Linked DNA regions of Lonchura striata. The protein of the gene in region 1 binds, or shares a complex with, the protein of each later gene. Links are inferred from orthologs where the notes say so. Each region holds a gene or a part of one and is shown on either strand. Other genes may lie near its edges.

What was found.
Region 2: the proteins of SIKE1 (region 1) and SLMAP are in contact, whole or in part, in a crystal structure (PDB 6AKM), measured with the Homo sapiens proteins. The link is inferred for Lonchura striata from reciprocal best matches to the Homo sapiens genes SIKE1 and SLMAP. Residues at the interface, in NP_079349.2 of Homo sapiens: Ile5, Ile8, Leu9, Ala12, Lys13, Leu16, Leu19, Arg20, His22, Asp23, Ala26, Glu27, Leu29, Val30, Ser33, Ala34, Leu36, His37, Val40, Met43, Arg44; in NP_001291349.1 of Homo sapiens: Leu168, Tyr171, Leu172, Glu174, Ala175, Arg178, Glu179, Met181, Leu182, Lys185, Thr188, Leu189, Leu192, Leu193, Ile195, Thr196, Ala199, Ser200, Thr202, Ser203.

Annotation. Positions count from the first base shown.
Region 1 is NC_134632.1:1,908,448-1,925,107, forward strand, and holds SIKE1 (suppressor of IKBKE 1), read left to right. Parts: upstream 1-9,760; 5' UTR 9,761-9,883; coding exon 9,884-10,042; intron 10,043-10,160; coding exon 10,161-10,266; intron 10,267-10,586; coding exon 10,587-10,729; intron 10,730-12,595; coding exon 12,596-12,709; intron 12,710-13,083; coding exon 13,084-13,173; 3' UTR 13,174-14,428; downstream 14,429-16,660.
Region 2 is NC_134614.1:12,310,636-12,326,675, forward strand, and holds the start of SLMAP (sarcolemmal membrane-associated protein), read left to right. Parts: upstream 1-7,264; 5' UTR 7,265-8,188; coding exon 8,189-8,386; intron 8,387-16,040. Other genes in the region: protein DENND6A, read right to left, coding at 1-15; uncharacterized protein LOC110471692, read right to left, coding at 4,176-4,410, 6,024-6,079, 6,655-6,813. UniProt on the Homo sapiens protein: Associates with the striatin-interacting phosphatase and kinase (STRIPAK) core complex, forming the extended (SIKE1:SLMAP)STRIPAK complex.

The DNA.
Region 1 (16,660 bases):
GGTGACCTATGCTCAAGGTAGCTTAAGCACGTTTGAAATTGTGCTTTTACAGGCTTAGTTTTGCCAGTGCTCATCTTCTGAACTACAAATGTTCAGTATAAACCACAACATGTTGGTTCAAGGGCTTGGTAATTTAGTTATTAGTCCCAACTGAAAGGCTTGACAACTTATCAAAAATGGGATCCACTAAAGAAAAAAAAAAAGCCATTGATTGATAGAAGTAAAGTAGAACTATAAATAGAATGTACACGTTCAGACTAGAATCTGAACTGTACATCTATTTATTTCTATTTATGGTGAAAGATGTGGGGTTTATCATTTTTATTGCTATAAAACCCCATATCATAAAGCAACATATCATCAACTTATCAAATTTATTGGGATACAAAACATCCTTCATGTAGCAAAGCTACAGGGAGCCCTTTCAGAGGCTGGGACTGACAGTGCTTTAGCTGCTATCGTAAATATTTTGACAGTTGAGTCATGGGGAAATTTCTTGTTTACAGGGAATTTTAGGAATTCGAGCTGAAGGTCTTCACCATCTATTTGGTACACCTTGGGCCACGTTAGTGGTCACGTAGTGGAACTCAGAGTATGTTTCAGGCTCAGTTTTAATCACTGTACTTTGCTTGCAGCTGGAAGGCAAAGCTTGTTTTTTTATTTTGTGAAAATTTAAGCCAAAAACTGAAAAAAAATGTAACTGAGCATAGTCAGTGCCAAGTAGGTGTGATGCCAGCTAATCTATTTAATTTCACTCAAGCAATTAAGTAATCACTGCTTAATTAAAGAATGATTTTGCAGGGGAAATTGTAGGATCACTTGATTGATCCTGTATGCAGCTTACATGCATTATTAAAGGTTTTTCGGCTCTTCCTGGTTTTAATGTGCCAAGAAGCTCCCAAAAGCTCCTTTTTGAAGAAATGCCACTTTTCTTCTTATTAAATGTGCTCCTTCCTGGTTATTATATTCCATATAATAAACATAATAGGAACTGGCTTATTTTACCAATAGACTACATTGCAATAATCTTGACATTTTCCTTTGGAATTGTTATTCCATGAATAATTATTTCAAAAGCATAATTTTTATACATTCTAATGTAAGAGGTTAGAGGTTGCTTGAAGCTCACAGTTTTCTGGGTACTTTGGGAAGGGAAAAAAATGATTGAATTTAAAAGTTGCTTTTCTTCAATCTGTGTGTCAAATGAAGTACTGTTGGAACAAACCCTTGGCAGTAGTAAATACCAGATTTAAAAGTGCACATTTGCTGTTTTCATTTAGTCAGATGTTTAAAAATAAAGAAAAAAGGAAGTAAAGAAGAAAAAAGCCTGGAATATTTTCACATGGCAAACTGAATTATAGCTTGAGCAGCAGTTTCTAACCTCAGAGCATGCAGAGAAGGGAATGAAATACTCACGGTGCTTGCAGGGAGCTCCTCTCCCGTGCCGGTCCCAGCTCTGCTCCAGCTGCAGCCCAGCAGGCCTTTCCCTATTTATCAGTTTGTGTGCACAGCCCGGGCTCCAGACACTCGGCAGAGCCACGCCGCGGCTCCGAGACACCAACTTCCCACACAGCTCCTCTGGGGTCGGAGCAAGGGCAGCTGCGAGCCCACATAAATCACAGCAGAACTGGGTCATCAGGGACAGAGGCCATGGGGACCCTCACGTCACTGCTTCCCAGAGTCCTCCCTGCCCAGCACGAAGATCCTGCTTTCTTGCTAGAATTCAAAATTCTCCCATTTTGGTTGCTTCACATTGACATGTCGGGGTGGTGATGGAAAATGTTCAATTCCCAATGGGGGAAAATATTGCAGTAGGACTATTTGGAGATTTTCGCATGACATAATAATTTAATTTGGAAAGGCTAGATCAGGCCAAGACCTCCAAACACCAAACACTTACCTTGTCCTCCATGTTCTGATTCAGACACCCCTGTGGCACACACCAGGCTCACACTCAGTTCATTGACAACCTCAGTGAACTTAACTTCACATTGCCATTAACTCAGCAAAATTTCCTTCTTAACCCCCTGAGTACTTCCATTATTAGTAACTTCTAATAAATTAATATTGCAATGTGATGTTTTCATTGTTTCCTAGGTAGATGTGACCTTTAGGATAGGGAATTTTCTTGTTAGGTATCATGCTGTTCCAGTGCTCCCAGCAAATCTCCTCACTCCAGGAGGAGCTCACCTGCCTTCTGTGTAAGATCAGTTCTCCATTCACCTCAGGAAAAACTGCTTCTGTTGGATACTGCATGGAATTAGATGGGAAAAGGAAAATGCAATTTCCTGTTGGGTAACTTACAGCAAAATCACTTAAAATCCTCTTTTGGGACAGTAGGTTTTCATGGATAAATGGCCATCACCCTTCAAGAGAGGGACATAGTTCTATTCCTTGGGGTCCAGAAAAGAGCTGCCCTAAGGCTACTTATTTCCATGTGCCATTTACAACTCTGTCTGTGGAGTGGAATGGTTGAGTCTTTCAAGAACAAACAGCACTCACCAATAAATGTTATTTGAGCATATTATGGGGTTTTCTAAGTTTTCAGATGTCCTGCATTGATCACATGTGGTGATGGGGGACTGTAACACAGTGATTACACAGCAGAAATGAAGATAATGATGTTCTAAGCTTAATTATGGTCAGCACTTGTCTTTCTGGTAAAAGCAGCCTCATACAGAAACTTGACAAGTTGTCAAAAAAACTTCAATAGTAAAACTGAAGGTTTTACAATTGATATAACAAATATTTTTTTCACAGAAGCATCTCTTTCACAATATCCCATTGACTTTTTCATCCAGCCTTTCTCATGAAAGTTGAAAAAACAAGCAGAGGTTTGTGAAATTTTGTGGTTACCTTTTAAATGCTACTGAGTTTTATTTTTAGCATTTTTTTTCTGACAGAAGTCACCTTACTGATAAGATGTTCAAATTAGCTCTAGGATGTGGGTATTTAGAGCCTGTTGACTCCAGGGGAACTTAAGCCTGAAGCTCAGGTTTTTAAAAGGCATCAAATCCTCATTCAACTCAGTTTATAAAGCCTGTTGGATTCAGGGTAAAATCAGTTTCTAAAATCAGTATATAAATAAGTTTATAAAATAACCATATAAAAGTTGTAGTAGAAATTAATTGCAGTAATTAAATATTAGCCCAATGTTAATTAACTTCTACACTGTAGTAATGAAACTATTTTGTATAATCATGAAGTGATTCAGACCAGGTGACTGGCTAAATACATATATTTATGTAAATACAGATATTTACATTATTTTAATAAATCACTGCTCCTATTCAAAGTTTAGCATGACAAATATGGGAGACTTGAGGGCACATTTGAATCACCTAAAATACTGCTGCAAAGAAGAGGAAAATAAACTCTTTTCCATGCTTCTAAATAATCAAAACCCAGAAAGGTTATTTAGGAGTAAGGGAGATTTAAATTACAAACTAGAGAAAGCAATTACTGTGGTAAAAATAGCACTGGAGTGAGTTCCTTGTACTATCTTCTCCACTGGCTGTTTTGAAGATCAGTTTGGGCAACCAGATTGAACTCAGGAATTGTTTTCTCTGAGTTGCTTTGGTTTGTAAAGAGGACTTCTTGTAAAGGACTTTGGAAAACTCGCTTCCAGCTCTGTTTTCTGTTATTTTCCTATACATACATCAATTCTGTAAAACACTGCTGAAGTTTCTGGTCAGTAACGTGCCCAGAGCTGCTTCAGTGGCAAAGGAAATAATACCAGACTCCAAGCTTGCTTTACTAGCAGTAAGTAAACAAAGTGTCACTTATAGATACGGCCTGAATTTAGGAGCTGAAGGAGTTCATGCCATGAGCCAACATCCAGAAGTGGCACTGAAGTGGGGAATAAGGGACACAAACGTTTTTCCACAGAAAAGAAGCAGATGTGGTGATAGCAGCCTGACCTGGACACTGCTGCAGCACTTGTGCAGCTTCACTGCCACCACTGCAAACTGGGAGCTCTGGGCAGCCAAATCCCCCTGGAGACTGGGCAGCTGGCTCCAAGGATCTGGTGGGTGAGGGAGCTGGAGATGAAGGAAGAGCTTCCCTGGATCCATACCTGCTGACACAATCCATTTTCAAGGTAAGCACAATTCTTTGTTCATCTGGACTGGAGTTTCCACATGTCTGTGACTCATTTGGTAACCGAATAGTTAAAGGAAATTGCATCTACTCCAGCTGGATCTTCTCTACATAAATGACCCGTTTGGCTTGATCTGGTATTGGATTGTTTACGTAACTTCAGTAATTAACCACTATCAGCCTCATTAATGAAACATAAACCACCTCTTCTGCTCATTTATAAAGCATTTGTCAAACAAAACTCAAACAAAGGGCAGAATCTCAGCAAAGTAACAGCCCTCCAAGAGCTACTGAGCCCTGACTGCAAGGCACAGCAGTCACTTTTTTGTTTTTCAGTAGAACTGAAGCAGAAGTGATGGCATTGCCTATTGCTCTTGGCTAACTTCTCCTCAAGCCATCTGAGATCTGTCACATGAGGGCAAGCATGCCTGGACAACTATTTTGGCCACTTCAGTACAAAATACTGATGTTCCAGCTCATTACTGTAAATCATTAAATGATGAAAGCAAGAGTCAAATACTAAATGACTAAAGCCTTCAGAAAACTAATTGCTAATTACAGTAATTGTTGTTCTATGTGAGTTAAAGGTTACATTAAAACAATTATTATTTCATTACAGGATTAAATCTTTCCTGTTGGTAAACTGTTCTGAGCAATATTACAGAAAGTGAAGTATTAACAATACAGATCATGTATCAAAATGATCTAACCTAATCTTTACCTATTTTTGTGTCAGAGAAATAAAATCGTTCAGAGGCATAAAATACACTGGCAAATACATCCATGCCAAAATCTGAGAGATCTGAGACCTTGCATTCCCTTTCCAATTTGTTGAGGAATTAATAAAAAAACCCAAGTTTTCTGTTCCCCCTCTCTTCTATTATTTATAGATCTTCCAAAGGTTCAGGAATGCTGACACTGTTGGGATTGTTCTTCATGGGTGTGGATGAACCTCTCAGTCCCGGGTGAGAAGCAGCCCAAAGCCTTGTGAGTACTGATTTTGTCTGATGGTGTTACTTTGCACAGTGAACAGCTCCCATGTGGCACTGCAGAGAGATGTTCTTTAGTGTGAGATAATAGAAATACTCTTTGTTTTGCATCAAATGTATCAGACAACTACTCATTAGCAAACTGGACGAGAAATAGCTCAGAAGATGCATTTTTTTGTTAAATTCTTAAATGCTTTTGTGGGATTAAATGATGAAATAGCAGACCAGAAAGGAAGAACAATTTAAATCTTTTTAAGACTCATTTTTTTCTTAATCATGAAGTTGTTGGATAGTTTCACCTTGAATTTTCTTACAGGTTTGTAAGGCCAACCTTGAAGAACTAAACATTATGTGAAGTTTCAGTTCAAGAAAACTGAAGATGCCTTAAACTCACCTGAAAGTCTCAGGACCCACAAAATGTTACTGTTTCTCCTGTTTATTCTCTTAAACTTAATCTGCAGTGGCTGAAGGCAGAGTAGGTACAATAAACCCATCCATTCAACCTTGACAAAGTTCCTGGGTATCCTAACACCTCCCCCTTTCAGTTCCCTCTGCCAAAACTGTTTCCCCTTGGCTGGAAGACCAGATTTGTTAATCAGATACTCCAGCAAGGCACAAAGTGGAAGAAAGCAAAACTATCAATTAAGTTTGATTACAATCCCCAGAGTTGGTAGTTCATAGAGAATACTCCTAACTACAGGCACTGCAGTACTTTATATGTACAGCAAAGGGAAGCCAAGACCTCATTTCCATAAAGCAGATCTTGACACTCTATGTTAAGCATTACAAAATAATTATTCTGGAATGCCTTGCTCAGCATTTTATCAGCAGTGGTCTTGCTGCTGAGACTGAACTAACTGGATGTATCCATTTATCAATGATAATGTTTTTCCTTTTTTCCAGCCTGGATTCCATCTTGAGGACATTTGTTTTAACAGTAGAAAGAATATTAGACTCATAAGTGTGAGTGCTGTGGTGCAGTGGGTGACTCCTCAAGATTTATCAAAGCAAGATAATTAGTATGAACAATAAGACTGAGTTCCTTGGTAATAATTCTTGTCACAGGACAACTCTGCATTATCCCACTTTAATCTACCTTGAAGTATGGGCTGGGAAGTGCAAGAGGAGGATTCCTTTGGGCTCCTGGCCCGTGAGTCTCTGTGCTACACTTTTGTTGAAGGCAAAACCAGTGAAATTGTGACAGTAGCTGAGAGCTTGTCTTAACACTACCACTTAATTTTAAAAGCAAGCAGTCAGAAAGTGTTGGGGTGTGTGGTGTGAGAGGGGGCTGGTTTGCTTTTTAAACAGCTGTAACTGCTGAAATAGTTGGGTTTTGAAGGAAGGGCTTCTAATGGAAATGAGAATTGTCACATTCCATTTTTAAAAGCTTGTGCCCAGCTGCATCACCATGGGAGACTTTTGCTTTCAGACACTTAGCCACAATGTTTTTACCTGTGCTGACCACACTTACAATTAATATAATTTTACTGAAAATCCAAGAAGTATTCTAAAGATTTGCCCTTTATTCTGTTCTCTAATTCCAATATCTAGATGTCACTCCATCTGTCACAGACATTGCCATTTGATATTGATCTGTTCATAGAATTCCAGAATGGTTTGGATGTGAAGGGACCTTCAATCCCATCCTGTTCCACCCCTGCCATGGGCAGGAACCTTCTACCATCCCAGGTTGCTCCAAGCCCCATCCAGCCTGGCCCCTTGGACTCTTCCAGGGATCCAAGGGCAGCCCCAGCTGCTCTGGGCACCCAGTGCCAGGGCCTGCCACCCTCACAGGGAAGAATTTCTTCCATGTATATAACTTGAATTTCCACTCTTTCAGCCTGGACCCATTTCTCCTTGTCCTGTCCCTCCAGTCCCTGATGAGGGGTCCCTCTCCAGCTTCCCTGTAGCCCCTTCAGACCCTGGAGATGGCTGTGGGGTCTCCACACAACTTCATCTTCTGAACAGTCTCTGCTCTCTCAGCCTGTATCCATAGGGGAGGGGCTCCTGTGCCCTGAGCAATTTTGTCCACTTTATGTCCAGCTAGATTTCTTTTCTTTGTGATTTTCCTAATGTTAGCAAGAGCCTTCTCAGCTGTACTCAGAACTGTTATGTATTTATCCCAGCACAGAAATACTATTTCTGATTTTCCAAAGATGGCCTGGGAGCAGTTTGGGCTCTGCAGCAGCATTGTTGTTCTGAGTGTCCCAGTACTCTGCTATCCTGCCTTCACTTCTCCTGCTACAACAACCCCATGTTCTGTTTGACAAAATACAGCCATGTGGTTAAGAGTTATTAAAAGCATTAAAACATTAACCTCTCATAACCCCATTTTTCACTTTGTACACACACATAAGTGTTTAATCGAATTGAAGTTAAACACTAAAAAGTTTGAGAGGCCAAATTTATACATTCTATTTAGTTTACACAGAATTGCTGTGATAAGCCAAAGGAATTACAAGGCACCCCTACTCAGAAATGCTCATCTGTTGATTTGTTTAAGCTCTGTTGCTACACACTCAAAGTTTTGGTGACAAGCATTCCCAGCATTTAAACCAAGGATCTTTGTCCTACTGGGATCCTCTCTGTGTCCTGGCGCCACAGGAACTCACTCTGCTGTCCCTTGGAGCTGGACAAATGATTCCATGTCCAGATCTGCTGGAGAGCGGCTGAGCCCCAGCCCTGAGTGGGAGCACGGGCTCAGGGCAGTGTGACAGTGGTGTCATAGATTCTCATCTCTCTCATCGTGGAATTTTATTCCTAGAAGCCAGAATGCCACAGAGGAAATAAACTGATCCTGAAATGACAGTCTGGTACAGCAGTGCTGCCCTCACCTACCCCTGCTCTTGCCTAGGGCCAGGATGGCACCTCTGACACCAGGGGGAAGTGAGTGTTAAATCAGAACTATAAACACAAGAGCTGAACAGGCAGCTCAGATACATCCTGGTGCAGCTCCTGCAGCGATGAAATGATGAAATGATCCTTCACTCTGCCCAGACTGTGGGTTCCTGCGGCTGATTTCCTAGGGATGAACTGGAATTCCCAGGGCCACATCTCTCAATGGCTCATTGAGTGCCTGAATTAAGTGGAACCTCAGGGACTGCAAGTTTGGTTTCACAGAAATCCCTGTGTTGGAGAAAGTGAAAAAGGAAAAGATGGCTCTGGCACACAGAGCTCGTTCCATGGAGCTGTGTCAGGCCTGCTCTGTGAGCCTGCCCAGGCTCTGTGGAAATGGGAGCTCTGGGAGAGGCTTTGGAGGCAGGCACAGAGCTGGGAATGGGAGCAGAGGGAGGCAGCAGCAGGTGCTGAACTGCACACGAGGGGTCATGTGAGGATGTGAGAGTGGGACAGGAAAACCAGCGCTGGCTAGGGCTTAGGGACGATGTGTCCATTTTGGGACAGGACGATTTTACCCAACTTGTTCCATACCCAGGATGGTCCACAAAGCAATATTTGTCAGTTTTCCAAGTGTTCGTGACTTGCCTATTAGGAAAAAGGAATTCCAATAAACTGTCCTAACTTTCTAGTAGTCTCTAATAAGATGAAAAATAGGGAAGGACCAGAAGGTCCTTATATGCTATAACATGGTCTGGGCTTTTATTTCCAAACTAGCAGAAGGATTACATTTCCCAAATTTGCAGAATAGTTCTCATACTTTACTAATTAATCTGATTCTGATGAAATATTCCAACTGCAGCTGCTTACCCTGTTCTCTTTTGCTTTGTGTGCATATTTTGAGATTGTTGATTTTATAAAATTATCTCGTTCAGCACTTCTGCACCAGCCTTGATTATCTCTGGGATCATAAAGAACCTTCATCTGATAGAGCATCCTGGAGTTTTCTCATGTGTCTGTGTAAATAGGGATTTAAATTAGGAATATTATTCAAATCAAAGGCAGTCCTGCTGAAATATTATTGTTGAAAAACATTGTTAATGAAGCTGGTGCTATTGAACAAAACTTTGTGGTACAAAGCCTCAAGGACACCCCAGATCACCAACAGTAGCTTCAGTTAGCAAATAAGAATCAAAGCAGCGAGTCAGCATTGCACAGCTTGTTATTTTGAGTGGCGGATGTTTACTGTTGGAAGAGACAAACAGCAGGATCAGATAAGATGGGAGCCCCGCAGATCCCAGCCGGGATTGATCGCGCTGGGAGGGAGCAGCCGCAGAGATAAGCGGGACCCGGGGTCAGGGCCGCCGGCCCTCCGCAAACAGCCTGTGTCGATCGGCGGCCTCTCGGAGCCGGCCTTGTCCCGGGCTCCCCCCACCGCGCTGGGGCCGGGGCCCGGGGCTCTCGGGGCACGGGGGGCTCGGACACGCGGGACCGCGGCGTGGGCAGCTCGTGGGACGGGGGCACATCCACCTGGGGCAGGCGGCTTTGGGGCGCCGTGTGCCGGGGGAGACCGGCTTTGGGGCGCCCCGAAACGCCCCCAAACCACCCCAAAACCAGCCAAAGCTGCAGAGCTCCGAGCATCCCCCGGGAGCGGCGGGGGCAGCCCGGGCCCCGCCCCCGCTCTGGCCCCGCCCCCGCTCTGGCCCCGCCCCCCGGGCCGGCCGTGGCGCTCTGGCGCCGCCAGGCGAGCCGCTGGCGGATGGCGGGCTCGCGCCGGGCCGCGCCTGCGCACTGGCGGCGCCGTGGCCGCGGGCGGAAGCGGCGTCCCGGCCCCGCGGGTTCGCGTCCGCCCGCGCCCGGCGGCGGGGCCGGAGAGGCGCCGAGAGCGGCTGAGGGGGGAGAGCGGCGGCGGGGCCGCGCGGGACATGGGCCCGCCGCGGGGGTGAGCAGCGCCGCCCGCCATGAGCTGCACCATCGATAAGATCCTGACGGACGCGCGGACGCTGCTGGAGCGGCTGAAGGAGCACGACACGGCGGCCGAGTCGCTCATCGACCAGTCGGCCGTGCTGCACCGGCGCGTGGCCGCCATGCGGGAGGCGGGCGCGGGCTGCGCCGAGCAGGTGAGCGCGGGCGGGGCGGCCCCCGCGCCTCGGCGGGGCCCGGGCGGGGCGGCCGCACCGGCCCCCGCGTCTCGGTAGGCCCGAGGCGGCCGGACCGACCCCCGCGTCTCGTCGGCAGGGCCCGGGCCCCGCGGCGGAGCGACCCGACCCGTCCCGGCTGCGGCCGCACGTGGTGCTGGCGCAGGAGAACACGCAGATCCGCGACCTGCAGCAGGAGAACCGGGGTGAGCGGGGCCGGGGGCGGGTCCTGGCGGGCGATGTGCTGCGGGGCCGCGGGGGATGCTGAGCGGTGTGCGGGGCTGTCCCGGTGGGATGCGCGGCCGCTGGTCCCGGCCAGAGGGGCTTGTCGAGGAGAGCAGCGGCGCTGATGCCCCGGTGGGTCGCGGGTCAGGGAGTCTCCTCGGCCGAGGGGGTCCGCGCAGCCCCACCGCAGTGGCCGGGGCGGGGAGCGGTGGGGCAGCGCCGGTCCCGCAGCTGGTACCCAGCGAGCGCCTCGGGGCTCCTGTGGCTGCCGGTCGTGGCCCTGACGTGCTGTGTTCTGCAGAGCTGTGGGTCTCACTGGAGGAGCACCAGGACGCGCTGGAACTCATCATGAGCAAGTACAGGAAGCAGATGTTGCAGCTGCTGGAAGGGAGAAAACGTGAAGAGGCAGAGCCAGTCTTGAAAGTCCATCAGGCTAATTCTGGGGTAAGGTGGGATGGGGACAGGAGAGTGCTCAAGACCCTTGTCCCCTGCTTGCTGTCATGCAATCTTTGTTTCCATTCCTGGAGTGTCTGTGCCCCAAAATACATTTTCTCCAAATCTTGACTCTCTTTGCTGGTATTTTACCCTCTGCTCCTTTCAGAGCACACAACCAGTAATAGCTGTCCCAGAGGACACTGAGAGGCACAGCCCCTTCACAGCCCAGGTGGAGGCTTTTACTTTTAACTGGGTGGTGAATTCCCTGGCTTAAGCTTAATGTGCCTGATCCTCTGTAGTAAAATCAAAGATGTACAAGTTGTTATAATTCCTATTCAGTAGCTGTAACAAAGGGGAAAACTCCTAAACTCTGTGAACTGTATATGTTTAGTTCTTAAGCGATTTTACTCCCTAGTGTTTTTAAATCCAGATACTCTGTGTAGTAGTCTAAAGTGTCCTTTTTTGTACATTGGGCTCAGTGACTTCAGTACTCTGAGATGTGGCTGCTGATAACTGCTGCCTGTTTCCTATTAGGTATCTATTAACAATAGAATAATGTTACATTTCCATTTAAGACTTAGGAATTGTGTTAGGCATTTTTTAAAATGCATTTTATCTGCTTAGAGAACAGCAGGTTGGTTCAACCCAGTGACATCTCATATCTTGTAGTTTTTTAATTGGAACTGGAGCCAGCCTAACTCCTCTCATGTCTTTCTGTGCACTGATATGTGGCAATTCACTTCTCTTTTCTAAGTTGCTTAACTCATGTGAAGGTGTAGCTGGGTTTGTTTTCCAGTGCCACCCTGAGTGCACGAATTGCTGTTTATCAAGGTTTTACATTTGAACAAAACTTGACAATGCAAAGCTGAAAGGGCTCTGAAGGAATCCTTGAAGGGATATCCCTTGATTGTCTCAATGTCTAGACAAAGTCTTCTGTACTTCAGGTGAAGTCCATGAGTTTTTTTCCTCCCCACCATTTGGAGAACATTAACAAACTGCTTATTTCTTTAAAAGAACTATGTTCTCAGTATAACCATCTTCCTGTTTAGAAAAAATCATAATCTTTCTTCCCAGAAGTCTCTCGTGTTCTCCAGCTGTCTTCTGAATGCTCTAATTTGTTTACATTCTTTCTGAATAATGGACTTCAAAATCAATTCTCTGCTCTGTGATAAATTTATCTTTCAGAGGTAGTAGAAAAACTATGGGCACTTAAAGAAACTCCACCCTGTCACCTGTCACATTATGTGATGTATTGCTCTTCAAGCAGGAACTGTTGCTTCATACTGGAATTTGTCAGTGTTTGTTCCATGTGCATTTCTGACCTTCAGCAAAATGCATTTTCCAGAGGATTATTGCTGTATCTAGACAAATTCTGTAAAATCTGCCTCAGGAGGCTCTGATCTTACTTGCTCTACTTTTGTTGCATGATGTTTTTCTGAGGTAAAGTTGTTTACTCCACACTTGAAATCATCTTTGCATTTATTTTTGGTGTCTTAATAAATTCAGTCAGGCTTTTCTAATAAAGCTAAATAAAATTTGCTGCCTACTAATCATGAACCTGAATGCTGTCTCAGACCTTGGCACACTTGAAATTATTTCCTTTTAAGTCAGGGTGCCTTATCTTGATGCCTGCTGTGTCTCTCTGCACTGTTTTCACTGATAAAGGACTGCTGATAGAGGACAATAAGGTACAAGTTCTTATTCTTGAGTATACAAGACAGAAAGGCTTTCAAGTCCTTGGGAGGAAATTATTAAAATTCAAAACAGAAAGAAAATCCAAAATCAGGAAGATGGAAGTAAGTGATTTATAAGGGATAAATTATGACTGTTGCTTTTGCCTCAACTTACTGAATGTATTAATTTTATGTCTTTTAGGAAATTGAAAGTCAAATAGACAGAATATGTGAGATGGGAAAGGTGATGAGAAAAGCTGTTCAAGTGGATGATGAGCAGTTCTTTAAAGTTCAGGAGAAACTGGCTCAGTTGGAGGTAAGAACAGAGGTCTCCAGACTTTCTCTGTGTTTTCTATGTTCCTGTCAAGGACTTAAAAAAAATTTAGGGATGGGGTCAGGAAATGCAGAACATGATTATTTATTTTTAAGTTTTTAATGTTCGTATTATTTTTGTAACTATATATAAACAAATTAAGCCAGAAGATAAACTTTAAATTATTGGTTCCAGTGTGCCAGCACTGTACTAATGCTGGCATTACAAAGTGTAATGTACAAACTTTATGTATCTGTGAAGGAGTGGGATTGTTTAAAGATCAGCAACTTCTAACTATGAAGTTGGCACTTTTCTGTGATAGTCCTTTAGTTGTGAATTAGCTCATTTCTATTTCAGCAAAAATGTTGATTTTGCAGCTTGAAAACAAAGAGCTGCGTGAGCTGCTGTTGATCAGCAAGGAGTCCTTCGAGGTGGGGAGAGAAGATCTGCCAGACTGTGAAGCCTAGGCCACACAAACCTCATCTCCAAGCCTTCAAGGGACTGTTACGAAACTACCTGACAAAGATTTGTTGTTTCAGGTGTTTCCTTGTATATTTGTTTTATCTTTAAAGTTGTGGGCTGTTTTCTCTGCATTTTTATGAAGTGTTGATGGCAAAAGCTTGCACCCTGTCTTAGTACCTGCAGCACTCAGATGCTTAACTGAAGTATTTGATGTATCCTCCCTTGTGATGGCTCATTTTCTCTCCCTTTGTTATTTTTTATGAGCTTTAGTTAGTAATTCCAGCTGTGCAGATGGCTCTTAAATCCACCTTGTCTGTAGCTAGAGAACATAATGCAGGTTGTGATTATTGTGCTTGCTAGAAGGAGCAGGAGATGACTGAGAAACCACAGTGTGAGAGGCAGGGATGTGGTTTGCTCTGGCTGCACGGGGCAGCTGGGCTCTGCAGTGAGTGACCCTCAGTGTCTGGCTGGCCTGACTGTCACCTGGCCACTGCTGAGAGCAGCTGAGAGAGCAGCAGATGCCAGCAGAGCACTTGAAGGAGTCAGTCCTATTCAGAACAAACTTTGCCTTGTTTTAGGGGTGAAGACTGGGGTTAAGGACCCTTTCTAACGCACACTTTTTTGAAGGATTCCTCTTTCTTGATTGATAGACCTGTCCCAGCCTTCCCAGTGCTCCCAGTTAGCAGCCAGCCCTGCTCTGTTGGTGTGCTCAGAGCCTGCCAGAGCACAGCACCTGCAGATCAAAGCTCTTTGGCCTCCCACAAATTTGGGTTTGGGCAGAGGGAGCTTAGGTCTGCCTCAAAGCCATACCAAACCTCCCTCATACACAGAATTTTAATGTCACATCACAGGTGAGTCTGGTGTTCCATAGTTACTGCAGGGCCTGTATTGTGTGGAATTTGAGGTGCAGTGTTGTAGGAGTTTCTCAGTACTGTGGTATTTTTAAAGACACTTTTATATAAAAAAGATTTCTGTCCTACCCGTGATCAAAGAATATTCTTCCAAGAATGGTAAACATCTCATTTCCACTATTTGCTTACATTTTTAATGCCACTTTTTCCCAAGTGAGACTTTTGATAGATGCAGAAGGTGACTCGTTCCTGTGCTTACTGAGAGACAGTGAACGCTGGAGACATTGTGAACATTTGGAATACCCAGCAAGACTGGTAGATCTAAGGGATTTCTGTACAGGAGTGCTCTTGTATACAATCCTTTTCTATTAGAAATTGTTCAGGAGGGAATAAAAAACCCAATGGGAAAGCCTTTCTCAAGTGTTTTGTGTATCCTGGGGGAATTCCATGTATTCTGCATATTACCAAGCCTTTTGTACCTGACTGAAATACTGCAATGACCAAAATGTTGAACTTTCTCTTTTCTAAATTAATATAATCTGGAATTACTGTGATGCATTTTCATCTTCCCTCTCTCAGTGTAGAGTAACATCCCTCCAACTTGGTCCTTGCTGTGCAGCCAGAAAAAAACCAGAAACTAGATAGCAGTTGCTTTGATTGAGTGTATTAAGTAGCAGGCATGAATAGGCAAAGGAAATTGAAATATATTCACAGAATATCCTGAGTTGGAAGGGACCCACAAGGATGGGGTGCAACCCCTGCCCTGCACAAACACCACAAATCCCACCCTGTGCATCCCTGGCAGCACTGTCCAAACTCTCCTGGAGCTCTGGCAGCTTTGGGCTGTGCCCATTCCCTGGGGAGCCTGGGCAGTGCCAGCACCTCTGGGGGAAGAACCTTTCCTGATCTCCAGCCTGACCCTCCCCTGGCACAGCTCCATGGTCCATTTGCTCCTGTCCTATTCAGGATCTCTGACTGGAACCTGTGACTGTAAATGGCTGGTTGTACACAGTTCCTGAGGGCTGCTGGGCAGTTTCAGAACTTGCTCCACGTGTGTTGGAAACTGGACTCAAGCTTCATGACATGCGGACAAGGCAGAGCATTTTCGCCTGATCCTCTGGTCCTTCAGTTCCAGCGAGCGCAAGGCTCGTGTCCCTCCCTTGAGCTCTGCCTGCCCAGCACGGAGGCATCCCCCCATGGAGGTTTCCTGAGGGCCTGGAGTGTGCCCGCTGGCCTGGCCTGGCCCGAGCTCTCCCTCCCTCACTCGGGGTTCTGCCTGCTCTTCAGCCGGGGCTCTGCCCCTTCAGCCGGGGTTTTGTGTCTCCCCTCAGCCGAGGCTCTCTTTCCCCTCAGGGGTTCCTCTCCCCTCAGCCGGGGTTTTGTGTCTCCCCTCAGCCGGGGTTTTGTGTCTCCCCTCAGCCGAGGCTCTCTTTCCCCTCAGGGGTTCCTCTCCCCTCAGCCCGGGTTTTGTGTCTCCCCTCAGCCGAGGCTCTCTTTCCCCTCAGCCCGGGTTTTGTGTCTCCCCTCAGCCGAGGCTTTCTTTCCCCTCAGCCGGGGTTTTGTGTCTCCCCTCAGACGGGGCTCTTTTTCCCCTCAGCCCGGGTTTTGTGTCTCCCCTCAGCCGAGGCTCTTTCCCCTCAGGAGTTCCTCTCCCCTCAGCCCGGGTTTTGTGTCTCCCCTCAGCCGGGGCTCTCTTTCCCCTCAGCGCGGGTTTTATGTCTTCCCTCAGCCGGGGCTCCCTATTCCCTCAGGGGTTCCTCTCCCCTCCCCCGGTCCCGTCTCCCCTCAGCCGTTTCTCCCTCCCCAGGCCGCCAGGGGGCGCTGCCACCCTCACTGGCCGCCCCCCCATCCCCTGTGGCGCGTGCCCGCGAGCGCCACCCGCCGGGCTCCAGGCGCGCACGCGCGGCCCCGCCCCTTTCCCCCCCCGGCCGCGGGCGGCTCTCGCGAGAGCGCCGTGATTTCTCTCCTACGTGCCGTGCCGTGCTGCTCATGGCGGCGCTGGAGCGGGGGCGCTGAGCTGTTGGGGTGAGTGCGGGCCGGGCGCCGCCGCCGCCCCCGCCCGCCCCGGCGGGCTCCGGGCGACGCGGCACCTACGCCCGCGGATCTCTGCTCGTACCGGGGCTGCGCGCCGGGAGCCCCGCCGGCGTTGCGCGTGGGGTGGGGGGGGTGGTTGGGGGGTGCGGCCTACCAGGCCGGCGGTGCGGGGATGGAGCGGCGGCCGCGGGGCGCGGGGTGCGCGCTGCGCTCCGCGGGGCTCCGGGGGCGGCGGCGGCGCCGAGGCCGCCCTGAGACCGGCCGTCCCGGGAGCCGCCGGGGCTCAGGGCCGCGCCGGGAGGGGGCGGCGCCGCGGGGGCTCCGGGCCGCGGCGGGCGGCGGGGCCGTGCGGGCGGAGGGGCGGCGGCGGCTCCCGGCGTGCCGCGCGCGGCCCCGCCCGGCGCAGCGCGGCCGCGGCCCTTTGTGTGCGGTGAGCGGCCGCCATCGCCCCCCTTTGTGTGCGGGGCGGGCGCTGCCCCCGGCCCGGCCTGCCCGAACGGCCCTGCCGCTGTCACCGGCCGGAGCCGCCCGCCCCCGCGCACGGCGGCCCCGCTGGCGGCGGCCCCGGCGCCGCCCCTCGGCGCGGCCGCCCCTCGCTCCGCCGCCT
Region 2 (16,040 bases), on another chromosome or scaffold:
CTCCCGCCGCGACATGGCCCCGACCCCGGCCCCGCCGCGCGGCGTCAGGTGACGCGCGTCGCCCCGCCCGCTCCCCCCGGAGCCGCTCGGAGTGGGAGTGGCCAAGCGGGCAGCGAGGGGAGGCCAAACCATTCCTGCGGGGAGCGGGGGGGGGGGTCGGGGGCCGTAGGGAGGGAGCGCCCCCGCGCGGCCCGCCAGGGAAGGCTGCGGGGCCCCGGCCCGGCCCCTGCGGGCGGGCGGCGCGGGGCGGGCCGGGGGCGGCTCCTCTCTCGGGCTGCGGGCGCCGCTCCGGGCCGGGAGCCCGCCCCGCTCTGCGCGGCCCGCCCGGCAGCTCGCAGGCAACGGATCAATCCGCTTTCTGTTCTCTTGGACGTGTCAGTGACAGCACCTGCTGGGGACCCCGTGGCCGCCAAGTAATTAACCGGTGTGTCTCCATCGTGTCCTATGCACCGCTGAGCACGGCACGGGAGGCACATGGAAATACCCCTCTGGCTGGTGGCTGGACAGCTTCACCCTCACAGGAAACTGGGGTAATAAAAAAAAGCATCCAAATCTCTTAAACCCTCTTTTAGTGCCTTAGCCAAAGCCCGAGCTCTTTAATAATATAAGAGCTTTCAGATATTCTTTTAGCACAGTCCAACAGCTATTTATATTTCATTATGAAACACTTTGTAGAGTTAAAAGGGCTAAATAGGTACTTTATTTAACAATAAAGAGAAAAATAAAATATCATTCATGCATCTCCCCCAGACTCCTGACCTCTTTTAATTTAATTATTCACACTAGACTTTTGGTTGACTACTACTAGAACAGTCAGCAGCAGTAGGTGTAGATGAGATGCTACCTGAATCACTACATGCCATTTTTTTTCCTTGCAAATATTAAAACCAAGATAATACATCTATACGTACTTAAAAGAAAATGTATGACTCCTTAGATGCACTGCTTCCTTAAGGCCCATTAACAACATTTGTTTATCTATCGAAAGCAAACTGCTAGAAATTAAAGTATGCTTTGATCACTGGAGTAATTTTCTAGACAAAAGATGAATAAACATATAACACACAAAATTATAACACACAAAATTATCATGGTAATAACTTGAGATACAGCAGCCTTCAGTTATGATACACCATGAGTAGTGAAGTGAATGTTAGATACAAACTGAGATAGGAATGGGGTTCTGCAGTGTGCAGCCTCAGGCAGGCAGGGCTCTGTGGGAAGGCTCTCGCTGTCTCCAGCTTCTTCAGGTATTTTGCAGTGATACCGTGCAAGACTCACATATTTTTCAAGTAGTTAACTCCTAAATTCTGTAGAAGATTACTCCTGACAAAAAGACATGACTAAGACTGAACTTTATTAAGTTCAACTCAGCGCAATGAGTCTCAGTGGAATTTCATTTGCTGTTTCCATTTAAGAATTGAAATGGCCTAGCCAAAAGTTTTTATCACTTGGTTTAAAAGATTTCATGTCACTGCCTCTTATAAGTCTTCCCTTGTTTATATTCTTGCAAACCAAAATTTTTAGCTATTATCATCATGCATGTCCTTCTAGATTTGCTGGCCTCTTTTTGAATTTCCATGTGAATAAGAAGTGTATCTATGTGAAATAATAATAATAAAAGTACTTAGTAAGAGTGATACATTTTAGTAAACAGTAAATTAATTCCACTAGATGCTTAAAAAATAAGTCTTTTGTCAGGAGAAAGTTAAGAGAACAGACATGTGATCCCTGATAAAGTACAGAAGAAAGGATTCTTACCTACTGGCGATATTCCCAATAAAGAGTGATTCAGAAAAATTTTTCACTTACCTAATTTAAATACATTTTAGTTTTGACAAAATATGATTATTTCCTTCAGATGAGAAAGAAAAATATTTCTGCATGTATTGTAACATTTAGAAACATCTGAGTTTCTTCTTCAAGAAGAATCAATGCAGAGATTTCAGAGTTGGGGAACCAACTAACTGAGAGTATTTTGATACAACTTGCAATAAAGCCTCATAAAACACTAGGGCTCTGCATATGGAATGTGCTCTTACAAATCTCCAGGAACTCTGCCTTGTTTTGCAGAAATACAGCCATCTGTCAATATCTGGAAGGGTTTGGACAAGAGACACTGCTAGAAAAAGCATGCCCTTGATGTCAGTTGCTGGAATAAAAATGAGAAAAGGCCAAGGTGGGACAGCTGGGCTCTAAATATCCACAACTGGCCAGTGTTTGAGCCTGCCTTGCTTTCTTCCATGCTCTTATCTTGCTCCTACAGCTGCGCTGTCCTGTGTCTCTCAGCAGGATCGTTTCTATCAGGTAGCAGCAAATGTTGTGTTGGCTGCTGGCTGGCCAGGTTCCATCAGCTTCAGCAGGGAGTGACTGTGCAGACTGCTCACATCCACAGAGAAACACCAAAGTACTGCATAAACATCATCTGCTCATCTCATCTTCCCCTCCATCCCCCGCCTCAAGATTTAAAGCAGTATTTTATTTGTATTTGAAAATTATATTTGGGCTAATAAATACATTCAGTTAAATACACACAGATGCAAAAAGTCATAATTATTTTTAAAGCATCTTTTCCATTTTTCAAATAGCCACAGAAAACATCAAACATTTCAAAAAAGTCAATATTAATTTTGACTGTTAAATTGATATATTAATAGAAAAGCAAATAAGAGCTGGTCACATGATGACTATGTTCTGCTAAAATAATAAAGCAGTGAAAATGCCAGATATTTCAACTTGCCTGATTTAATTTGAAATAAAAAAATACTGCATGTAAAATTAGCTATATATTAGCATAACATGTATTAATTGTATGCATGTTACATTATACTTATGTATATATACCAAATACATGTAGTATCAACATACTATACAATGTACATTATATATATAAACAGATAGGATATATAGCACATAATAATAGATTTTAAATCATTGTATAAAACATTCATATTTATTACATATTCAAAATTGAATAGTACATTCAGTATATGCTCACTACATATATTACATTAATGTAAATATTATGTTGGTAAGACACTCATTTGTATACTGGATACGTGAATCCTTTTTTTAATGCAAACCAGAAATAGGAGCAGGGAAGGATCTGAAAGAAAATTGAATAAATGGAGAACCTACCTGACAAGAGAGGATGAAACTGGTAGTTGCTTATTCTGTCAAAATTAATGCTGAAAGATAACTCACTTTTTTTTTACACAACCAGTCAGAGAGTTAAAAGATCACAAACAGAAAATAAGTCTGAAACAAAAGAATAAGAATAGCACTAAAATACAAATGTGTAACCCCTTCACTAAATCTAGAACCGCTTTTTTTAACACTGGAGAAAACTTCTTTTTGACAGCTCAGTTCAGAATGTTTTAGAAGCTACGTCTGAGGCAAGTTTGTTTTGCAAAAGATACATAAGGATATAAGTAACAGTTCAAACTTTGCTTTATATTTCCACACTGCTCTATACAGCAGAAAATGCCTTCTTAGACTGTAATATTTTAAATGCGGTATGGCAATTATACATGGAATTTGTATTTCTGAAAATCAGTACAAAACTGATTGGATAAATTGTTGATGAATGAGTTTCAGGGATGAGAACTCAATAGAAAACTGCATCTTCAAGTTTCTCCTTATCTGTTTATTCTGATTTCATTATCAGTTTGCATCTTAATTTTTACACTAGAAATAGGACTTTTGCTATACAGCATGCCTCAGTCATTTCAAATGTAACAACTTCTCTGGAATCAGCATCTCCCGCTAAGCAACTGGTTCATACCTCTGCACTGAAAACTCAGTCTGATATATATTAATTATTTTGGAAGCCTTTTAGACCATCATTGCTCCGTAGGCAGAAATCTGGCACTGAGTTGCCTATAATGCTGCTCGGTGTTTTTCTTTCTAAGTCAGTTAGCTCAGAATTCAGGACAGGCTTCCTTCAGCAAAAGATCTCATTTTTTCATCAAGTCATTAAGACTTTGACACACTCAAGCCAAAATCCAGATGTTTTTCAGGTATGCACATGAACTATGTAAGCTGCATTTCATCCGCCTGAAACAGACAGCAGCTCTGCAGGGGACAGATGTGACAGTGACAGTCCCCTGCAGAGCTCCCTTTCCCTTACCCAAGATGGACACGGAGCAGGCTGTTCCTGCCCGCAGTTATGATGGCTACGGTAACATTTCCACGGACTTCCTGCCCAGAAAACGGAGGGGCACGGTGAGCTCCTGCTGCCCGTACCCAACATGGCTGCGAGGCGCCCTGCCCGCTCCAGCTGTGCGACAGAAGCGAGACAGGGGCTGACACTTCTCCCTCCTCATCCTCTGAGACAGCACAGCGGCCGAGCGCTTCACACGGAACTCCGCATCCACCTGTTGCTTTCCACACGTCTGGGATGGACACTTTCTGGTAAGCAGCAGACACATCGTAACACCCATTCAATAATTGTATCCTCATTTCAGAATGCAACCTCTTTCTGTATTTTCATCTTAGCCTTGGCTCTGCCCCTGATAACCTCTGAACTCATCAGGCAATTTGAAATAGGAGCTGAAAAGCCTGAGGGATAACTACACCCACGCAGCTCCACTGAGAGCTGGCACCCATGCAGAGAAGGAAGGGTCAGATTAATGTCCTCGATGAGCAGTGGGTACAGCTCAGCTGTTACATGAGCCATTTGGCAGCGCCAGAGAACTAGAAAGGCACATACCATTGCCATCTGGTTTTCTCATACCATTGCGTGAGCCTGTCAGAGTGGGATTTCTCCAGGGGATGAAGAAGGGTTCAGGAAAACATGATATGCCAGTGGCTTACAGTTTAAATGGCACAGTTATATGATTGTTAGTATAAATACTTATAACATCAGAGAAAGGTATCCACTGCTGTTTATTATTTTCCCTGATTCTCTTAGATGGTAATGGATTTTTTTCATCTCTAATTTTACTTTCAGTCTCCTTTCTCCATTAAACATGTACACAAAAATATTAAAAATGCTCTCAGAAACATTATTTTCATTCCAACACCTGTAGTACCCTTTATCCCCACTTTTTACACTTTGCAATTCCAAAGTGCTCTCAATTATTTCTACTTTTGCAACTCATTCCCTCAAATGTAACTCCTAATGGACCTAAATTTATTCCCACTTTCTCCACCTTCCTTTTATACCTTTCCTTCTCCCTTTGATTAGTTATGGCACCCTGTGTGCTGTAAGCAACAGCCACACTAAATTTCCACTTACTAAAAAAATTAGTAAAATCAAATTATGATTATATTTATCAGAGTAGTACAATCTCATAAGCTGATGAAAGCCATTAAGGGATGTGCCAGGTTTTTTTTTTCCCTGTCAGGAGAATTAAAACTACAGATAAACAGTTCTAAACATTCCACCTATCAGTTTTTTGTTTTTGTCTTCACAAAATCAGACTTGTCTTTAATCTTGGATTTCATTTCTCTGTTTCAAACACAGATCTACAGCCTAGTTTTGCTGTTGTTTTCTCACTGGATTGTTGGGGAAAAAACTAGTCTGTTATGAATTAACCTCCTTTCCCCAAATCACAGAGTAGTCAAAAAGAAAAGGAAAAAAAAATGAAGACAGCCCTGAGATTTTACTGTGCTACAACTAAGAACACACCAAACATGCTTTGTCTCATACACTGCCCTGCCTTACCTTGATCCCTGCTTTTCCCCTTATCCACTGCTGAAGTGCCTGGCCCAGCTCCACTCCTGTCCTCCATGGCTGCCAGCTCTTTCTGCCATCTCCCATATCCCTAATCCTAACACCCTGTCACCGGGTAATTATAGTGCTGGCATGACCCCAACATCTATCTTACAGCAACAATTCCCACTTGTTTGCTTTACAGAGAATGACGGAATTAAAAATGTATTTGGACTGGAGAGACTCGTTTGGCACCGGGTGACCTTGACAAGTGACCTTTCCTTGGCTTCTAGAAAACAGGCATAAATATGACCTTGGATGATGCTCCGTGGTGTACTGAAGGAAGACACAGCACCAGTGACCCCACCTCAGTCCTGTGCCTGCAGCCACTGCTCCAGGAGTGCCCCTGCTCCAGCTGCCAACCTGCAATAAGACATGGCAAACATGGCATGTTTGCATTCCTCCGGCGCCAGGACACGTCAAACCACACCGCGGCTCCCGAGCTTTTTAATCTGCCGTCATAAAACGACCAGACGCGCACAGGGGAAGCAGGAGGATGTTCAGGAGACTCTTGCAGTTTCTCACGCAAGCTCTGCTGAGAACGTGTCACCCCAGCTTGCTCCTCTGAGCTGCGCACGTTCACAGCACCACGGAACATCCTGAGTTGGCATCAGGTCATCGAGTCCAACTCCCGGCCCTGCGCACGGTGCCTGCCAAGAATCCCACCGTGTGCCTGAGAGCTGAGAGCTTTGGCCAAAAGGTTTGTGAACTGGCAGTCTTGGGGCCACAGCCACTTCCCTGGGGAGCCTATTTCCAGTGCTCGACCACCCTCTGGGTGAAAAGCCTTCTCCTAAAATCCAACCTAAACCTCCCCTGACACAACTTGGGGCCACTCCTTCCCGCTTATTTATAAGAGCTGACGGGCTCTGCTCGCCCCCTCCCTCCCGAGCTGAGAACAGCGAGGGCAAAGCGACGGCAGGGGGCCGGGGCTCACTCACCTCAGCGACCTGCCCCGTGCCGGCTCGTCCCAGCCGCGCCCTTCGGGAGGAGCACCCCGCGCCCCGCGCCCCGCTCCCTCCGGCCCGCCGCCCCCTCCCCGCCGCCCGGAGCGGGGCGGGGCCCGCCCGTGCCGCAGCCTCGCCGCGCGCGAGGCGCATGCGCGGGCCCCGCCGGTGCGCACGCTGCCCGCCCCCGGCCCCGCCCCGCCCGGCCCCGCCGCCGCGGCCACACCGGGAAGGGCTCCAGGCGCTATGGCGGCGGCTGCGCGCAAGGTAAGGGGGGAGCGGGGCGCGTCCCGCGCCGCCCGCGGGGCCGAGGAGACGCGGGGGGACGCGCCGAGGGACGCGCCTGACCCGGTTTGTTTTGGGCCCCGCAGGTTGGAGGAAACTTCCCGCGGCCGGTGGCCTCCTGAGCGGCAGAGCGACCGAGCGGGAGCGGCCGGGCCCGGCCGCCAGGCCTCTCCCGCCGCCGGGGCAGCGGAGCCGCGCTGGGCGGGCGGAGAGCGCGGGGGTGCGCAGCGGGCCCGCCTCATGCGCAGTCACCTGCGGAGGGGCTGAGCGGAGCCGCCGCCGCCGCCGCGCCCCGCGCCGGGGCTCCCGGCCGGCACTTGCCGGGGCAGCCCCCGTTACAGCACCGCGGAGCCGCCGCGAGGGACGCGCACCGACCCCGCCGCTGCCGGAGCCGCCGCCGCGGAGCGACCTGTCAGGGCACCTCGCGGGCCGGCCCCAAGAACCCTTCCCACGCGCTGGTTTGTCCCCGGGAGAAGGCGAGTTGGGAGCCTCTCCATGCCTTATCAAGTTCCTTATCTGAGCGGCTCCCAGAAGCTGTAGACCAGTTCAGCTTTATCTGGTGTAAGGGAGAAAACCAGTGTAATTCTCGCACTCCATCCTATATCGAGGACCACCTATTCTGCTGGGGTTTAACACAGGAAGATGGTGAAATGCGGATTGCTGGGTGAACCATTAGGTCCCTGTTGTGGAACGAGGGCTTTGTATTCACCTTCCAGTTCCTGATCTGTGCCGTGTGTGAGAGGACACTAATCTTTCTCCTTCATCCCCCTTCCCTAAACCTTTTCTTGCTTCAATGTTGCATTGGTCAGACTTTTGGTCAGTGTTGTTTACGGAAGGGGGGTGGGAACAAGGCAGTTGAGGTTACAAACAAAAGTACTTGTATGACTCATCTACTTGGATTTAAGACGTTGTATCCTTCTTTCACGGGGCCTTTGCTTCTCTCTGAAGGAATCAGATGCTTTTTCCTATTCTTCCAGAGGAGGATGGATTGAAAGTTGTACATTTTAGACTTTTTTTGGGCCACTGCTGATATTAAAAGACATAATGGGACTTTTTCACTGGATTATTGCCAGAATTAGTTTACACACTGAAATAATGAGTTGTTAGGCCTCTCATATGATAATATTTGTCCTGCTTTAATATAAAGTTGCTGTGGAGGTGTTTTTAAAATTGTGGAGGACGGTCTGCATCAGAAGAGGCTCTCTTCATCTCTGGTTGGTGTGGCAACCACAATCTGTCCTCGATGCCTTCAGCCTTGGCCATCTTCACTTGCCGCCCGAACTCCCACCCGTTTCAGGAGCGTCATGTCTACCTGGACGAGCCTGTCAAGATCGGCCGCTCCGTGGCTCGCTGCCGGCCAGCCCAGAACAATGCCACGTTTGACTGCAAAGTGCTGTCCAGGAACCATGCTCTTGTCTGGTTTGATCACAAGACAGGCAAGGTAAGATGTTCGTTTAAAAACACTGAAACTGCCCATTTGTTTTAGCAAGTCCCTGTAGATTGCGGATCACTCTGGTTTTGCTGTTGTAAATATGGTTGCATAGGGCAGGAGTAAGATTTGTTTTGAAGTGGTAATTTTCCAGGTAAGTTGGTAATTTCTTACTAAGCAGAAACTTTGAATATTGTGAAAAGTATATGAAACTAACAGTTGAAAATGGTTAGTTGAAAGGTTTTGCTTATTTATTACTGGAAATAGGTGAATTTGAGGTGAGATGTGCAAATGTGAAAGTACATTGTGTTGATATAGTGGTGTAATAGTATTTTTTTCCAAATGCAGAGAAACCGCTGTTTTATCAATGTGTGAAAATTGATCATGAGAAGTGTTGAAAAATGGATTTTAAAAAGATACTCTTCTTATTTGACACTCTTCTTACTTGTCCTTTTGAAATTTGGTGGAGTATTTTGTTGGTTCCAATAGGAGGCTTATTACTGGCAACAGGAGTGTAATGGGTGGCATTCGTGAAATAGTCTTATTGTAAGTGAAAATGGTTTTAAAATACATCCTGTGTTCTTAAGTGTTCCTCTCTAAAGTCTGGCAGTCTTGTTAAGCAAAATTGAGGGGTCCTGTAGTGCATGTTTTGTCCACTAGGGATTGAACTGGGACAAGTAAAGTTGTTTTACTTAATGACTGTCAAGTTAATTTTAAATATCCAGCGAAAAATTAACAAAGGGCAGACTGCAGTTGCTCAGCACTGTATTTTATTTCCAATTACATTGATGTTATGCTCTAGAACTTAACATGAACTAAGTCAGCTGGTTTTTTAGCTTCACACCAAGTCCTCCTGTGATATGCAGTCAGTGTAGCCCTGGATTTTAAGAATAATATGGTCTGTAATTCATGCAGATTTTTTCAGTAGTATGACACAGCATGAGAAGCAGTAAAAGGCAGTAAAAGTTCTTAAACATTCCATTGTTAACTATCCTATATTACGCAATACTTCGACGTGATGGGACAAGACAAGCATTTAATTTCTTAAGGCTAGATTAAGGCTTTCAAGTTACCTGCCGGTAATTGTGCAAACTGCTATCTGTATTAAACGTTTCATTAAGCATCTTGCTTTGGCTCTATTGTGTATGTGATCTGCATTCTTGGATTCTAGAAAACTTAAGTGTTTGAAATACTTTCAGTTTAGTCTTTAACCTTTCTTGTTTGATTCAACAAAGTAAAATGTTCCAAGTTATTGCTCTGTTTTTAAATTAAAACGTATTATGCATATAGCTTTTTATCGACGTTTCTTATGACTTATCAAGATTTTAAGACCCCCATGTGCTTTATGGTTACAAATATGGTCCGTCATTTTCAAGATGGTTAATTTGACAAAGCACTGAGTGTCGAGCAAGTCTGCTAACTAATAGACAAGCTTCAAAAAACGTCAGCTATGAGGATTTTTGTTTGTTTTTAAATTTCAGTTAGCGTTGGCTCCTCTAATATAGGTAAAAATTCGTATGCTTGCTCACTTACCTGTTTTAAAATAGCAACTTAGTAGTAGCAGTAATTAAAAGGATTATATTTGATTGTTCTGGAAATAACATCATGTGAAGATTTGACAGAGGTCTGATGAAACTTGCCAAGGTAGGCATTTGTAGCGATAGTAAACAACTAAAGAATGGGTTTGTGATCATGCCCTGGAATCCACTCCTACTTCATGTTAGATGTGGTGCTGTAAAGGTTTAAAGCACGGGTATAGCAGTGAGGAGAATTTCAGATTTGATGCTTGTTTGCTGGCTGTATGGTCGGGCTTTTGATCTGGTTGAGTATTGGAATGGTGAACTGTGAGACAGTTGGAGGGGTGAGGGAAATGTACCATTAGAGATAATAGGTATCAAATGCTGTTGTGAAAAAGCAGGTAGAAGATACTGAGAAATACAGGCATGATCTTGAATTACAAGAACTACTTAAAAAAATTTTGTGGTGGTTTCAAAATATAAACAAAAACATGCCAGAACATTTACGTGCAGGAACATCTATTATCATTGTTTACATAACTGCTAATAAGCACATCTCATTTAGGAAATTGTCATTATCCTATCAATGACCTATATTTAAACCTGCAGAAATTCTCTCTGTCAGAGTATTAGTAAACATTTCTTAGAACCTTATATATAGGGCATTCATCAATTCTGGATTTTTCAAAATATAAAAGACCTTCAAATGTTCATTTAGTAATGAGAAAAAACCTTCAGATATTTCAAAATAGTTTGTTAATGATCTGGGACTACAGTTTCATAACTTGTGGACTTTGGCAATAACAGTTTTGGGCACTACCAGTCACTCAGTCCAGGCTCTGTTGCCTCTTGAACTGCCTTTCAGTTATACTTATTACTCTTTTTTTTTTTTTTTTTAATGAGGGCTTGGAGTTTTATTTTGTTTAGTGAATCATGTGAGTGATCCTGTTTACTACATAGTCTATAAACAATTTTGTCAGTATTATCTGTAAACAGGGGTAGAACCTGAAGAGAGGGAGCATCAATAAGCTATGCCAACGAAAGTAGTACAGAATTTTTTTCCTAAGGCAGAGGAAGGTATGAGCTGAAATACGTTGCATAAGTAGAACTAAGCTGAAGATAACATGTTACTTACAGCTGGAAGATGTGAATGTTTCTTTTGTATAAAGGTGCTTTAATTATGCATGAAAAAAGTTATTTGCCCAGGGAGATAATGTCTATGTAACACTAGCATTATTAAGGTTGCAAATAGAATGAGTTTTCAAGATCACCAATACATAGGAATTAAAAGAAGGTACTTAAAGTTGGATTTGCTTTTTAAAATATTTTAAACATAAATGTAAGCCTAAGTGTGTGTATGATAAAGGTGGAAGGAGATGGTGGTGGGATTTTCTTGGAGTTTTTCTGTGCATAGTAATATTTTTATAGACAACCAGTGCAATGCCTCTTCCTGCCTGTGTTTGTAGATACAGCATAATAACTCCTAGTTAACTAGTGGATTTTTCATGCAATGATAACATTAGAATATTATAATTAGAATTCATTTTGTTTTTTTTTTTTTTTAGTAATTACAAGTTAATGAATCTGGGTTTTTTATAGGTGCCTATAAAAGTGACTCACTATATACGTAGGAAGTAGATGTTGTGCTGAGTATGGAGTGTTCCAAAAAGTGTGAATCAAAGTGAAAGAAAAAGTGGGCTATACTTCAGAAAATCTAAATGTGTTTGTTCAGCTCAAATAACTGCATATGGGAAGAAACTCTTAAAAATTGTGTAACTGAAATAATCTTAAACTTGTTTTTTTGGGTTTTGTTTTCATTTCTAAAAATAAGCAAGTGGAAGACCTTTGAGAATTTGTATGTGACTTCCAGGCTGAAATGCTTCTGACAGATGTTGTAGAAGCTCTTAGGAGAAACCTGAAGCTTCCAAATAGATATCCAGGCTTTCAAAATCTCAAATTATTCAGCACCTGACATTGTTGTGAGTTCCTATTATAAGTACCTTTTATAGGGAATTCATTGCCACAGTTTACCAAAGGCTCTGAGAAATTGTGAAAAATATTTTCTTAGATCAAAAGCACCCCAAAGAACCAGTCATTTTTAATAACTGAAAAAAACGGTGTAGGCACAAGTTGATGTGTTAATGGTAGCTAATGCTGTTGTTTTCATTTAATTCAAAGTGGATACGAATTGAATTGAGCACATTCATATATAGGTGATGGAAGTGGTAAGTAGCATATTGAAATCCGTGGTCCCTGTAACAGTAAAGGAAATTTGTTACAGCTGTGCATTATGACTTCTAGACTTATAATATGTGAGACAAAAATACTACAAAATACTTAAAGAAAACAAAAACAAAACAGATTCCCTCTCCCCACCCAGTAAAACCCTCAAAAAACCAAACGCCAAAAGAACCAACCAAAAATCCAAGAAGGAAAACCCAACCAATCATACCAAACCCCAGCAACTGAAAACAACCAGCCCAAAGGCACAGCCAGTTTAAAGTGATCTGAAGGACTCGGTGACGTTTACTCTGGTTGTGTTTGGGATGACACCAAGCCTGTGAGTGTCGGTGTGGTGGGGGTGAGTTGGGCTGCTCAAGGGCAGGGCTGCCACTCACTGGGACCTGCCCTGCTGACTGAAGGGGCAGACAGGAGCCTCAGGACAAGCACGAGGCTGCGCTTGGAAAGGAAGAACTCTTTGCAGCTTATTAGACCCTGCCTAGCATACTGCACTTAATTTTGGACCACTAATGCAAGAAATACATTGACAAACAGGAGTTGAGATTAGATAGTCTTTTTTTGCTGTATTGTACTAGGGAGTAAAGTAAATTGATATGAAAGAAAGCAAACAAAATTAGTAAAGAGGAAATATGTTACTTGCTTTACATTACATAAAATGTTTTGTGGATATTGAGAACTTGGCATGAGGCAGGAAAGCACAGAACATTTTCTGTGGATGTTCTGTTTGTTCAGAAGTATTTTAGTAAATTTGTCTTTAAAAACTAAGTGGGATATGAAAAATAGTATTTGGAATTGCGGGGTTTTGGTGGGAATATTTTTTTCCTGCTGCTTCCAGTAGAGAATCCTGTGTGATACTCTTGCCTATTTAGTGCTGATCTATATAAAGTTGTGTTTAGTTTCCCATGTATCAGTAGCACTTATTTTGATAGATGTAGTGTCTGTTATTTGTTTTTTCCTCTATTATATCTTTTCAACTTTCTGTTAGGATTGTTGTCCGAGAGATGAACGGATGTTTTATTTTTCAGTACTCTTGATGTTTCTGTATGCTTACAGTCTGCATTGAAGACATTGTCTTCGAAACAGTGAATGTTCCAAGTGCCCTGGGGGACTGACCTGGGATTTGCTGTAATGCACAGAGGTGAAACACCAGTGCTTAGGTACTTCTGGTAAGAGGGTGATGTCAGGCAGCCCTCACATACACCTGTTAATATTTTTATGTAAGTGCTTTTCACCCTGAATGAACCATCCCATTTTACACTGATATGATCATGAGAATAGTATGGGGTAGGGAGCTCTTGCTTTCAACCATCTTCAGCCCCATGGTTTTAGGAGCTGGTGTAGGAGTGAGGGCAGCCATTTATAGTAGAGGTAAGTCAGTGCTGACAAGGATTTCCCTGCAGAGATACCATCTAGAGCCACTGCTGCAGAGTTAATACTGTAATTCTTGGAGCTGATCCATTGCAGTCATGCTGCATCTATCCTGAGCCAGGAACACCAACACATTGATTAGGCTTTAAAAACAAACAAAAATCCCTTTTGTATTTGCAATGAATTTTTACAAACCTCAAATGAATCGGGTTACTTAGCTGGAATCAAGGCCAGTAAATGTGTTTTCCTTAGATTTCTTATGGGATGGTTTGGGTTTGTACCTAGTCCCAGGCTTATAAATGCAAAACCTTGCTTCCCTACATTTTCGTTATATAAGGTTGTTACTGATTTTTTTACTTTCTTATGTGTTAGTTGGGCAATCCAGTGATCATTTGCAGGTGGATTTACATGGCACTGGAGAAATACTTTGATTTGGCTTTATCTTCTCATTTTTCATAATATATGTGACAGCTTCATTTGCTTATTTATCTAATGAAAGTAACTGAATTTATGTATGCTGTAAAGGGCCGTGTGGGTGAGGAGTGTCTGTGTCACTGTGATACTTTGGTTGTGTTGATTTGAGTCTGATCTAGCTAGATTTCTGCAAAATGTGTTGATACATACTCAGCTGTTTTGTTGCCTTTTGGGTTTTGTAATTTCTTTTAATAGATAACATTAAGGGAAAATGATGAGTGTTTTTGGAACCAGGACAGTGAAAAGGAAGAAAGAATGCTGTCTCCATCCCTCTAGCTAGCAATTTTACAGTCTATTGCTACTAAATTATATGACTATTTATTGTCTCTGGATTTTCTTTTGAATTGCATCAATACTTGCTTCCTGTTAATGTTATTCACTTGAAGTGAGTTTGGATTATCCAAGAGCTCTGAATTTTGTTAGATCTTACTGTGACCATGCATTAATTTACCCAACTTGTCTGTCTTTCTAGAAACATTTCTGTTGTGGCAGAATTTTTGGAAAAAGGCTCAGCATTGTCACATTTTTGTTGAATATAGGCAAGTGTTTTTTCAGTCTGCTCTAGGAATGGGAACATCAGGCAGAGAGATGGCCTGTAACCATCTTGCAATAAGACGTATCTCTCTGCCAGGGGCTCAGAACAGTTTCCTCCTTGAAAATGAAAATCATTGTGCTGGAGCCAGACAATTAATTGGATACAATTTTCCTGTTGTGTTGTACCAGACTTGTGTGTGATTGAGTAATGCCTTAGAGTTTATTTCAGTCTTGAGAAAGTATAAATAAATTATGAACTTCCAGCAGGCTTATAATAGAAAGTCCAAAATCCTGTAGTAACACTGTAGTTGAGTGGAAAAACACAGAAAATGCTAGCAGGAGTTTGACTTCTTTTTTTTTTTTTTTAATTTTGTAAAAAATAAACATAAAAAGTACAGGGATTAATTAAGAGTAGTTTAGGGCATGAGGAGTTTGTAAGATCTTTGCAGAGCTAAGGAACATGACTATTGATAGTTGAACTATTGTGTGTAGTGAAGGGAAATACATGCTATGCATAGAACTTTTAGGTTATAAAACAACATTAGTCAACGATTGGAAAGAATTAAGAGTAGATAGATTCAATTGCAAATGTTGTAGTAGTGTAAAATTTGAGAACTTGTAAATAAATACAAAAAATAGTGACAGTATTGTGCTATGTTAAAGTAAGTTTTTCCCCAGTAGGAATATCTTTAATTTTAGTTTTCACATGATAATTCAAATGTGATGAAAATATTTATTACAGAAAGTCTTCAATACAGAAAGCAGACAATGTCTCATATATGTATAAAACCTATATAAGAACAGAAGGGTGATCTTTTGCTCTTGTGTTAAGATAGTATTGACTAGAAATCTAAGAATTAAGTTACTAGTGCTGCATATTGTCATAATTGCACTTGTAGTATTTCTTCCATATGCAAGAACTTAAGATAGAAAAGTTATGGATGCATGTAACCATGTATCATGTAATACCCTTCTTAAAGGAAGGACTAGAAATGTTATGTTTCAAATAAGATGAAAAGCTCTGTAATGGGCCAGATAGATATTTGTACAGCAAGTTCTTTTGAAGACATTTGGTACTGGCTGCTGCTATCTGCATATGTCATTAGTCTTATCTGATACGGAAGTTTTTGCACTTAAATGGAATTTTTCCAAAATTGTTCCTTTTTTGGAAGTGGAGTGAGCTGAAGTTTAAACCTTGATTTGTTTCAAACTTAGTCTTTGCCTTAGTTATCGATGGTCTGTTTTTTTTGCTTGTTTAACCTCACCCCAGCAGAGCTTGACTATGCCTTGCTTTCTGGTTTTTTGGGTTTTTTTATTGGTTTTCTTGAAGTGTAATGCTTAATTTTGTAGGTTAGAAGCTAGATTTCTTGGTTCTGCAAACCTGAGAATTTAGCTTGCCTACCTTTTTGCCTTTGAATATCCTGGTGGCCTTTCCCAGTAACTTGTGGCACAATTAACTGTCATTCTCTCTTTTTGTTGATGTTGTCATAGTTATGCCAGAACTTACAGGCAATAGAATTGCAAATCAGTTT